3 linked regions of the Danio rerio genome follow. The protein of the gene in region 1 binds, or shares a complex with, the protein of each later gene. Links are inferred from orthologs where the notes say so. Each region holds a gene or a part of one and is shown on either strand. Other genes may lie near its edges.

The links.
Region 2: ppp4r4 (region 1) and smek1 share a complex: the UniProt entries of both Homo sapiens proteins name them as parts of the PP4 complex. The link is inferred for Danio rerio from reciprocal best matches to the Homo sapiens genes PPP4R4 and PPP4R3A.
Region 3: ppp4r4 (region 1) and ppp4r2b share a complex: the UniProt entries of both Homo sapiens proteins name them as parts of the PP4 complex. The link is inferred for Danio rerio from reciprocal best matches to the Homo sapiens genes PPP4R4 and PPP4R2.

What each region holds. Positions count from the first base shown.
Region 1 is NC_133195.1:30,097,663-30,101,099, reverse strand, and holds the end of ppp4r4 (serine/threonine-protein phosphatase 4 regulatory subunit 4), read right to left. Parts: intron 3,153-3,437; coding exon 3,062-3,152; intron 2,943-3,061; coding exon 2,881-2,942; intron 2,796-2,880; coding exon 2,639-2,795; intron 1,240-2,638; exon of another isoform or gene 1,105-1,239; coding exon 1,059-1,104; 3' UTR 572-1,058; downstream 1-571. UniProt on the Homo sapiens protein: Putative regulatory subunit of serine/threonine-protein phosphatase 4.
Region 2 is NC_133195.1:36,334,493-36,338,250, forward strand, and holds the end of smek1 (serine/threonine-protein phosphatase 4 regulatory subunit 3), read right to left. Parts: coding exon 3,581-3,758; intron 1,427-3,580; coding exon 1,307-1,426; 3' UTR 35-1,306; downstream 1-34. UniProt on the Homo sapiens protein: Regulatory subunit of serine/threonine-protein phosphatase 4. May regulate the activity of PPP4C at centrosomal microtubule organizing centers.
Region 3 is NC_133181.1:46,726,491-46,730,148, reverse strand, and holds part of ppp4r2b (serine/threonine-protein phosphatase 4 regulatory subunit 2-B), read right to left. Parts: intron 3,590-3,658; coding exon 3,449-3,589; intron 1,609-3,448; coding exon 1,286-1,608; intron 1,205-1,285; coding exon 882-1,204; 3' UTR 1-881. UniProt on the Homo sapiens protein: Regulatory subunit of serine/threonine-protein phosphatase 4 (PP4). May regulate the activity of PPP4C at centrosomal microtubule organizing centers.

The sequences.
Region 1 (3,437 bases):
CATGATGGTTGACATAATTAAAAATAAATAAATATAATGATAAATACAAAATGCACTGACCAATGGCGCTTGATTCCAGGTGGTACAGAAGGTGGCTGTGGATGTGGATGAGTCTGGAGGCTCACTGGCAGAAGCTTCCGGCAATCTCTTCATGAATCCTCTTCCTCCCAGGCTCACTTTCAACCGACCCTTCATTTTTGTTGTCTACCATGAGGTCACAAAATGCATCCTCTACATTGGACGTGTGGTCGACCCAACTAAGAACTAATTAGAGAAACTACCAATGGTGTATACAGGTGTTCTCACTCCTACATCCATTTGTTTTGCGTGAATAACCAAATATTAATAGTGTTTTAAAACAATTAATATCAGTATCAACCTTTTAACTGTTATTAACATTATACTGTGATTTAATTAACATTAAGTAGCAGCATAATATAGTCACAATCCAATGTTTGCTAGGAAATTAAATGAATAGTGTACTTAATGTCAAGTGTAACTAGTAACTTGTTTTTCTATGTGCGCTGTCAGTATTTAAAGAGCCAGTTCAAAAGCAAGTCATTAAAGCACGTCATATTCAACATGAATTTTATTCATTGGGTACTAAGATGTTGGCGTTAATCAATCAGGTGCTGGGTGGCACCAGGCACAATCTCATTGGTGGGATGGGATGGAGAGTTCCAAAACTCTTCAATCATAAAAATACATAGTGCTTCTTTTTCTCTTAGCCACTTCAAAAATATAAAACAGAGAATTTTGCAAAGCATGCTATAATACAAGAAACAAAATAATGAGGCAGTAAATTAAATACATTCAATTACTCCTCAACTCTCGGTTTCATTTTATGATGTATGGTGTGAGATTTTGATTGTTTTTTTTGTATGAAATAAGGCAGAGATGGATCAATGCAGACCTTAATTGATGCCCCAGCACATCTTAAGCCTTTTCTGGGATAGAAGAGAGAATGGACACATCAAAATGGAGGGACACTGCTGTGCTGCTGCTGCAGAATGAAAAGTCTTGTAAAAGGGGCTTTAAGTCAGAAGGCAAAGTGGTAATCACTCTCTCCCAGACTGCATTCCAAATGAATTCGACTTCCGCTGTCTGTCGAACACAAACAGAAAGACAACATAAGATCACTCTTGCTGAATCACACCCGTTCATAATAAAACAAAATTGCATTGCTAAGAAAAAAGAAATGAAAATAAATCAAAACATTGTACAAAACAATTATAAAAATGTATTATAGATCCCTTAAACCAACACCAAATCCTTTAAATGTTCATTATTATTCAGAACAGATAGAAATGTATGTAAAACAAACTGAAATTTTTTTATAATTTTCACCTTAAACTAGAATGATAAAAGCCTAAATAAATTTATTTAAAAGGAACACCTTCAAATATTTGGGCCACTGGAAGTTGAAAAAAATTGTATGCAAAAAAATGTGTAAGTAAGGTTTTGATTCAGCTCTGCATGCGCACAATGAAATAATATAAATATATATATATATATATATATATATATATATATATATATATATATATAAACGTGTCTGAACAGAATAAAATCATTGTGATAAATGAATAAATAATAATAATAAATAAAGTACTTTGACCTGTAAAATGCCTCTTGTTTTCTCTCAATAGTATGTAATTAATAAATTCACAGTATATTCACGTGATTGCTTAAATAGCCATAGAACTTAACTGTCAAATGTAAAAATGTACATTATATCTTGTGGCAGTTGCCTTAATAATCCAGTAGGCTCAAAAGGGAGCATGTTTGCCCTCAGTTTCAATATCTATATGACATCTATGAACACTACAATTGGAATTCTGCAAGGCTATATAAGCTGTTCCTTTGTTTTTACTATAGGCATAATGACTTGATTCAGATAAGAAATATAATATTGTTTAAAATATGAAGTAATGATGTACTTGTTGTATAGATACACTCATTTGACAATGTGTGCAGATTTTGCAAATGCTTTGCATCCTTGGAGTGAGGTGCAGCATGTTTTAAATAATGAAATAATGAGTTGTATACAGCCGAATACGGCACTTAGATAATAACCCAGGAAGCAAAGAATTCTGGCTGAGATTTAGCATAAAGCTGGCACAGCAGGCATTCAGACCAAACATGGCCCAGGTTTGACAGCAGTCAGGCACCGTCTTTAAGGCGGCACACAATATTTGGGCCAGATGTCAAATGTAGTATTTGGCCCAGATGTTATAATTTGATATGTGGGCCATGTGAGTTTGGCCTATCTTGACCCACATTTAAATTCTTATTTTAAAAAAAAACAAAAAAACAATCAGGTCTCTGCAAGAAAAAGCATGCCCATAGCATGTCTAAAGTGCAATGCTTTATGGATTTATCAATTTCATTGCAGTCGTGACACACCAACATATCTGGCCTAGTTCAGGGTTAGGGATTGTTAATTTGGCTGAGATATGGTCCATGTTTGGCCCTTGTCTGGAAGCCAGACTTGGTCCAGTCATGTACCGTAATTTACTGCAGCATGTGGGCCAAGTAAAAGCTGATTGTGTGGGTCAGAGCTGGGCCAGAGATATTTTGCTAGGTGGGGAGTGGCTGATTAAAAATGGGAGTTTATCAGTCAATTTGAGAAACATACACAGAAAGTTTCCTAGACTGTGTGTCTTTATTCCCGTTACTCCGGTGATCCACAGAGCTGCTGGTGTTGCTGCGGATCAGAACAGGCATGGACGAGGACGATGGGGTGGAGGAGATTGAAGAAGCAACATTAAAGTGGTGGGGTCGCAGGTTATCATCTGGAAAGCAAACAAGTACATAAGTACATGTAAACAACAATATAATATAACAATATAATTCACGAAGAACAATCTCATTAGTTACCATTTAAAGGTAGCATAGGACTCTTTCCTGATCCAGGGCAACTTCCTGAATCTTTCAGTTTTCTAAAGAAAAAATTGTGAGTGTAAATGTTGAAGTACTAGCGATGATGGGTCACAGGTCATGGGTCAAAGAACCAACTGCAGTAGCAACATAAGAAAGCTTAGGGGATTTTGTTACGTACAAGGTTTTGTCTGAGTTTGTCATCTTGGGTGTTGTGGGATGGCCACTGAGAGAACGACTGCGAGCTAGTTTAGCCCTCCGCATCTCCTTCCCTAGAAACAGCAGCAATGTGGAGATGATAAGCACCGGACCATTACAAAACTTTAAGAAAATGTTTAACATTTTTATGTCACTGGAAATTTATCAAACTAATAACAAAAACAATAATAACAAAACGATTACATAAGTAGCTTTCTGCTACACGCTACAGATTTTTTTGTTCACAAAAGTTAAACAGTATTTCTGTGAAATATTTTTATTGTAAAAAATATTTTTAATGTTTTACTATTTTGTTAGTTTTCAAAATGGAATATTCAGCATTTCCGAAAATATAATAA
Region 2 (3,758 bases), about 6.2 Mb from region 1:
TCCTCATGGTTTTGAAGTACAAATGGAAACATGGTTTTTCAGAAAATAAAAACTGTTATCTTTAATTGTGTGCAGGCTGTTTAGCAGAGACACGGCTTCTCCATTGACGTATTCAGACGAGCAGACAGGAGGATCATTTCAATGACCAAATCCCAGTTCAAATAACAAAAAGATCAGCACAGTTGAACATAATACAGGGAACCAGCACAACCGGGAGAGATCTACTACAGCAAAGATCTTTTAATGGTCCCAAATATACTGAACAACTAAGAGTGTACACAAGTAAAAGAAAAGAAAAAAAAATGAAGATATGACAGAAATCAATCACATCTATAGAGTTCCACTCAATCTTTAATCAAGACGGGCTTACAAATTTTCCAAAAAATCTGCAGTTTTGAAGGGCAAAAAAAGGGTAAAACTATCTCCCCCCCACTGAGGTTTTAAAAACCTGTTCAAGTGCGGCTGAAAACGTCCTGAACATTTAAAGGCAGGTCTCTTTGTGTCATTTTAAAAAAACCAGAGAGGAGAACAACAGAATAAGAAAAAGGAGGGAACTGCTGGCTTTGAAAGAGGAAGAACTTCCGCTGAGCCACAAGAACAACAGTGACATCTTAAACAATGACGACCCAGACTTCTTTGCTCCCTATAGTGTCCCGCCTGGCCCTAGAAAGTCAAAAACAAGGGGGAAAAAAAACAACAGAAAAAAAAGCTGGAGGAAGGAGAGAAAGAAATGGAGATGGAGATCAGCAAAGGTGAGTGGTGGTTGTGGATTGGCTGGCCCAGTTCGGGTCATGTGAGGTCCTTCCCTGAGAGGGGGGGGCAGTGTGTCCTGGTCCAGGCCTGGGACGCTCTGTGGGGCAACAGTTCGAGTGTCTGTGAGTGAACGACTGACTGACGGACTGCGTGTGAGGTCTGTTTTACCCCCCAGAACTTTTAGCTTTGTCGAAATTAATTTCTTATTTTATTATAATTCTTTGTCCAGACCACAGTCCTCCATCCCTCTGTCCGCTTCACGAGTCTCTCTCTCTCTCTCTTGCAGATTGGCACTTGGACAAACTCCACGTGGAGACATTCACCTTTTGGTTCTGGGACCGAATCTTCTCCCTCTCTTGCTCTCCCTGTCCTCCGTTCCTCACATGGCGCCCCGTGGACTCCTGCGGGGGGCTGCATTCGTTCATTTATCCATTCATTTGTGTATTCATCATCATTCATTTAGTTTCAGTTTGAGTTCTAGGCTGAGCACTGGAAAAGTCTCTGGATGAAGCTCCCTTCGAGCGTGACTGTGCTGATTGAGGAGGGAGTGCTTTTAGGAGCTCAGCTTGGACTTCTTGGACAGCGGAGGACTTTCTTCTTTACTGTCTGCATCTTCCTCATCCTCGTCCTCTTCGTCATCATCAGGATAGTCCACCAGCCCCACTAAACCTCCCTGGAGGAGGACAAGCATGCAGTTAGAAATGAGTGTAAAAAGAGACAGTGGTGAGGAGTAGAGCTGCACGATATTGGACAAAAACATGACATTGCAATATTTAGTTTGTCTGCAATCTATGGTGCGATATGAATGCAATTTCACAAGATGACAAAACTATTTGGAACAAATTCATCATTTTACAGTAATTGGGATAATTTTGTAGAGGAGGATCTGCATAAAATACAATACAATTGAACTTGATGGGTTTCTGTGAAATGAAGAGAGTGTTGAGGTACAGAAATTTAATAATAAAATATAAAACAACACTGTATAGTCTTCATTGTATAATTCATTCATTTATGTTTATATACCTTTATAACCTCTTAGTTTAAGTTTGCTTAAATCTTACACGGGCATCAGTCTTACAAACGCATCCAACTGAAAATCTTTCACTAATGTTATGTGGTTAAACTTTGCGATGACCCCACAAATTAAACGTTCTGAACTGACTACTGCAGATTCACACATTGTGATAAAAATGCTGAAACGATATATTATGCACCCCTTAATGAGAAGTAACTAAGCATCAAGCATCTGATACGGTAGTTGAGACTATTTTTTGTTATGAGCCATATGATACAAATCTGAATATTACTAGACATAAATAAAAAGTTCAATAGGCATCTACTGTGACAGCATCAGAGCAGAAGTCATTAATATTGAGCACCATTCTAAACATGGAGCTTTTTATTCTAGGGATGTATTGTGGGGTAAATAAATGAGCATACAACTGGAGACTGGAGAAATGCTCACCCACTGACAAATCAGCTGATTCTTCTCAGTTAACATCTCGAAATGGTTTCCAAATCACACTTAAAGAGTCTTTGATGAACGGGACTGATCTGACTGTGTATGTTCTTGAGGCAACATTTACTAATTCAAATTGATGATTTATTATTGAAATAACTTTAAGCAACTACTGTTAGTTGTCTGCAAACTAATTGAGATTGTGATATGGTCACAATATGGGTGTACATTATTTACAGCCTATGATAATGTCATACTTGTTGTTTTAAACGTGTGAGCTGGCATTATCAATATCGTAACTCTCTTGGGAAAAGAACTCATCCAAAAAGGGTTTTTCACTGCATGCTTTTGTACTTTCACTTAAGTGAAATTGAAAGAGTGTAATTGATACTTTTACTGGATTATTATTTTATTAAGTATTGGATAATATGCTTCAAGCCAATTCAAGGAATAAGCTGATGTGGCATCATTATAGACAAAATTAGGCCTAAACAGAGTTCAATTGAAACTCAAAAAAAAAAAAAGTTTTCCAAAGAAAATGTTTTGAAAATATATCCTTTTTGGGACACCTACCAACTACCAATGCTCAGTGGAGATTGTATAGCAGGTAGGAGACTCTCAGTATTCTGTGAATTTTTCTCTGGTTCATTTCCTGTTCACAAACATTGAATAGCCGATTTACAGTAGAAAAAAAAACAACACTAACATTAACACTGGTTTAAAACTCAATCTACAGTTTAAAGTGCCATTTAAAGACACATGATGTGAGTGGACTAGACTGCAAAATTGAACATCAATATCAGCTGCTTTCTTAAGTTCTGTCATTTTTGTTTATTGGGAGGAAAAGGTGGAGCACATATTTACATAATCATTTAATACGGGATGTTTGCTAACAGAATATCACTGCTCATGTACTGCAAACCTCTTTTTATCTTTGGGGTCTTAAAAGGCCTATACCAATAGGGTGCCCAAGTCAGGGTTCTTGCATCTGTTCCAAAGTCAAATCTTAGAACTTTTCAAGCTTTTGCAGGTGCATTTTAAAACTTTTCCTAAACTTTGCCTGCAGTACACACACATTTTCTGCAAGTTTTCATTTTATGCAAAAGCAAAAAGGCTTATTTTATTTAAATAGTTAATAATTATTACATATTTAGTAAAATACAATATTGCAAAAGCAATTACATTTTTTAAGCAGTTTTAAGCACTTTATCCAAAATCTAAGCACTTTTTAAACCTTTAAAAAAACAGTAGATTAAAATTCAAGCAATTCCAGCACCTGTTAGAACCCTGCCAAATACTTTGTCTTACAATAGTAAAAAAGGAAACAACTAGAATTTTAAAGCACTTTCAATTCTTGTTAAATACCTTAGTGGTGACAGCTGCCGAAGGGGGAGAGCTCCGGGCCCCTGTCCCGGGAGAGCTAGGAGAACCAGGTGAACCGGGATGAAGGGATGCAGTCGGCGGAGAGGACAGGCTTGCCTTTGGCGAGCTGGAGAAGGACAGTTTAAAACTGGGACTTTGCCGTCCTGAGAGACTTGCTTTC
Region 3 (3,658 bases), on another chromosome or scaffold:
TGACACTGAGCTAGTCGGAGCGGTCAATAACCACCCGCCGGAACAACGAAAACAACTTCTCATAAAATAGGAGATTGAAATGCTGTTATAAATTAATGCGAATCATCAAATCAGTCTGAACAAGAGGTAAATGTACCTGACATAAACCACTCACTTTCAATGCAGCGGAAAGACCGCATGATTACACTAAAGCGAAGAAAGTTTACATCCCGTCAGTTACACACAAACGAGCAGAAGGAAAGAAGTGTTACGCTAGGCTCGAATCATTTCACAGAACAAAAGATTGCTATGGCTTGTATTTGCTTGGAACGTAACTTGAACAGTGGCCAGTTTATGCGTCTTCAGGCGGTAAACTCCACTGGCCTGATGCTTGACACTGTGTGCCTAAAATATTAATACACAAAGGAGACACGTCCTCGTTTTAGAACAAGACTGGATAGATTAGACCTTTTGAACCAAGACTAAAATATTAAAAGAAAAAGTCCAGGTTAAATAAAACTAAAGGTTTGCAGGGGGAAGAGACTTCTTACAAACTTGTATTTAACCATGGATATTTATGCAATTAGCTGATGACAGTAAGACACCTAAAAAACTTGAGTCCCTATGATGAAACAGATTGGCAAAAACCCCATGACGTCAAATTAAGGAAAGAAATTTAGACAGCTTAAAACCTTCACTTCAGCAATAAAATCATATGTACATCTGCATAAAGTGTCCGTTTGGGAAGTTTGGAGAAGTTAGGTGGACTCTCGACCAGAAAGGCGCATGGCGGTAGGTTGGGTGTTGCTTGGGATGACCTTTGTGGAAGGCCACTTGAGTGTGTGTGTCGTCTTAATCTCCACAAAAGCACATTGTTGTTTGGGGTAGGAGTGTGCAGGCTCTTAGTCTTGCTCCATGGGCTCCTCTGCGCTCTCCAAGTCCAGTGCCCCTGACCCAGTGTCGCCCTCTGTTGGAGAGTCTATGCTACTGCTGCTGGATGTGGGTCCAGAGGCATTGTCGTCAGTGCTACTGCTGCTGACCTCACTTGGCTCCTCTCCTTCTCTCAGCTCAGGGCTCGAGGCCACGCCTGCTGGTGCTCTCTGCTCTGATTGGTCCATATCGCTGGGCTCTTCTGAAGAGTCATCTGAACCACAGGGAACCTCTCTCTCTGTAAACGTCTCTCTGGAATCTGCCACAGGACACTCGGGTTGTGTGCTGGAAGGCTCTGTGTTAAAAAAGAAAAAGAAATGCATTATAGAAAGAATAATGAGCTATTTATAACAAGAAATAATTTGAACTATGCCACCTTGGTCTTCAGAGTTTTCAGCCGAGCCTTCATGTTTACTTTCCTCCTCTTCTTCTTCACTCCCTTCCTGCAACATGGATGACGGTGATTCAGGGTCCTCTGACTTATCTGAGGGGCTTTTGCTCAGTGTGGATCTGGGGGTCTCCACAACCTGCTCGTCCACATCATCTTCGTCCTCCTCATCTTCGTTGCCATCCTGGCTGAATTTGAGTCTTTTAACTTCGTGTTCCTCCTCCTCCATTCCCTCATCTTCCTCGTCATCCAAGTGTTTGTTTTTTACAGAGCTGCCAAGTGGTCCACCAATGCCTGACGCAGATGCATCACTGCAACAAAAAGAATGAAAAAAATGGCCATTTCTATATATTTATTTTTGCTGAAGGTCAGCAGAGTTAATTATTTACCACGTTAAAAGATAAAACATGTTTATTGATTAAACTATCAGCACATTACACACACAAGATGATTATTTGAAATGATTCATTTGTCTCTTTAATACTTTATCTCACTGGATTTAACTTGTTAACAAAGGTTCAACAGTGGATCCACACCTCACTTCTTCTTAACCTCTAGACCTCTAGTTTAGAGGTTTTCAACGTTTTAGGACACACGTCCCCCCACATTTAGACAATTTCACTTGCACACCCCCTCCAAAATTATAATTCACGTGCAAACACCATTCACATATTACTTGCTGCATTTAAAGTGTGTAGCATTAATCACGTTGAAACATAAATGTATAGCTCAACTGATTCAGTGTGATGGCTGAGCCTGTTTCTCTGAGGACAACATGGTTGGATTCCTGACACGACTAACCATCAATCATCTTCCACTGTCAATAAGTGTGAGCCATACCATACTTGCTTTTGATGTACGTACATACGGAAAATGCTGCTTCCCAAAACCAAGTTCGCAGAGCCCCGACGGTGTGGTTGAGTTGAACATTGTTTACATGGACACCAATACTTTAATAGATTTTAATACACTTAAGAAAATACTCCGATTAAGAGTCTACCATGTAAACAATGATTTAGGATCACCTTAATCTGACTAAACTCGTAACTGAACCAAATAGAAATAGAATCAAGACATGGAGTATGCATATAATAGTGGAAATACAGAAGTAAACACTGCAATCAAACTATTACCGTCATGTAGGACTTTGCCATATTTTTAACAAGATACACACGTGGCGGTCCGTAAATGACTGCACACAAACACACACATCGCAAAATGCTGAGGTTTTTTTCTTTCCATTTGGCGTGCATCATTAACCCTTTGATGCACTACATTATTTTTCTATATCTATTTTATAGCTTCTGCATCTAAGGGTTAAATTCCATAACACTCTCACCAGTCCTTACTCCTTATTTACGTCTAATACCCCAGTTTGTCATGGGGGCATGACTGAAATGTTCATGATTTAAAGTGAAACTCTTACATTGAAGCACTTTACGCAAACACCTTAATTATATTACCGTCTATTAAGGCAAATAACTAGATTACAGATGTCCATGTAAATGTAGTCAGTAGTGTCGTTAAAGTTAGTGAAAGGTCCAGAAGAGCATCCAGCTGATTTTGTTTGACGGTTCATCGGTATTACTTTCATTCACTGTCATTCATTTTAAAAAGCAACCGGTCCATTATATTTGTATAGATTTTACTCTAATGCATAAACTCTACAGGTGCCTGACAGTTAGATGTGGAGCTAACATTAATCAGATTCACTCTAATGAACACACAAAACTTGTCATCATTATTTACTCAAGAGCATGCCTCAATGTCTTGTGCCACCCACAGATTAAAAAACCCAGCTCTAGCACTGTTCTTCTGGTTTTTCTGAACCCACCCTCCCTCCTTCCCTCTATTTCCTTACTTCCCATTAACAATCCTATGATCCTCTTTTCCCTCCTAGGTTGAATTTGGGGGTCCAATCACTCTACCAAAACATTACAGAGACGGTACCCCCACTATTAGTCTCAGGGCATCTTTGTAGGATGCTCCATCAACCTACCGACCTATTCACCGTTTATCTTCTTACTTCCTCTTCATCCCACTGTTCCCCTACCATCCCTTTCATCCTTTCAACAAAGTCTAGCTCAAAAGTGTGTCATGGTCCATGCAGGTGAAAAGTGCATGAAAGATGAGCTGAAATATGATGTCTACCTGGTCGTTTTGCTGTGTCCCTGGGGTGTGTTTGTGTCTTTGTTTTCAGTACTGTCCGGAAGGCCATTTGTGGCCAGCGAACTGGACATGGAGTGTTTCTGTCTGTTTAATGGTCTGGGTGTTCCTGGACCGTTCACTTTCCTGAAATATACAGTGCAATATATAGAGCATATATTTTTTAAAATGACTATCTTAGGCTTCATATACTTT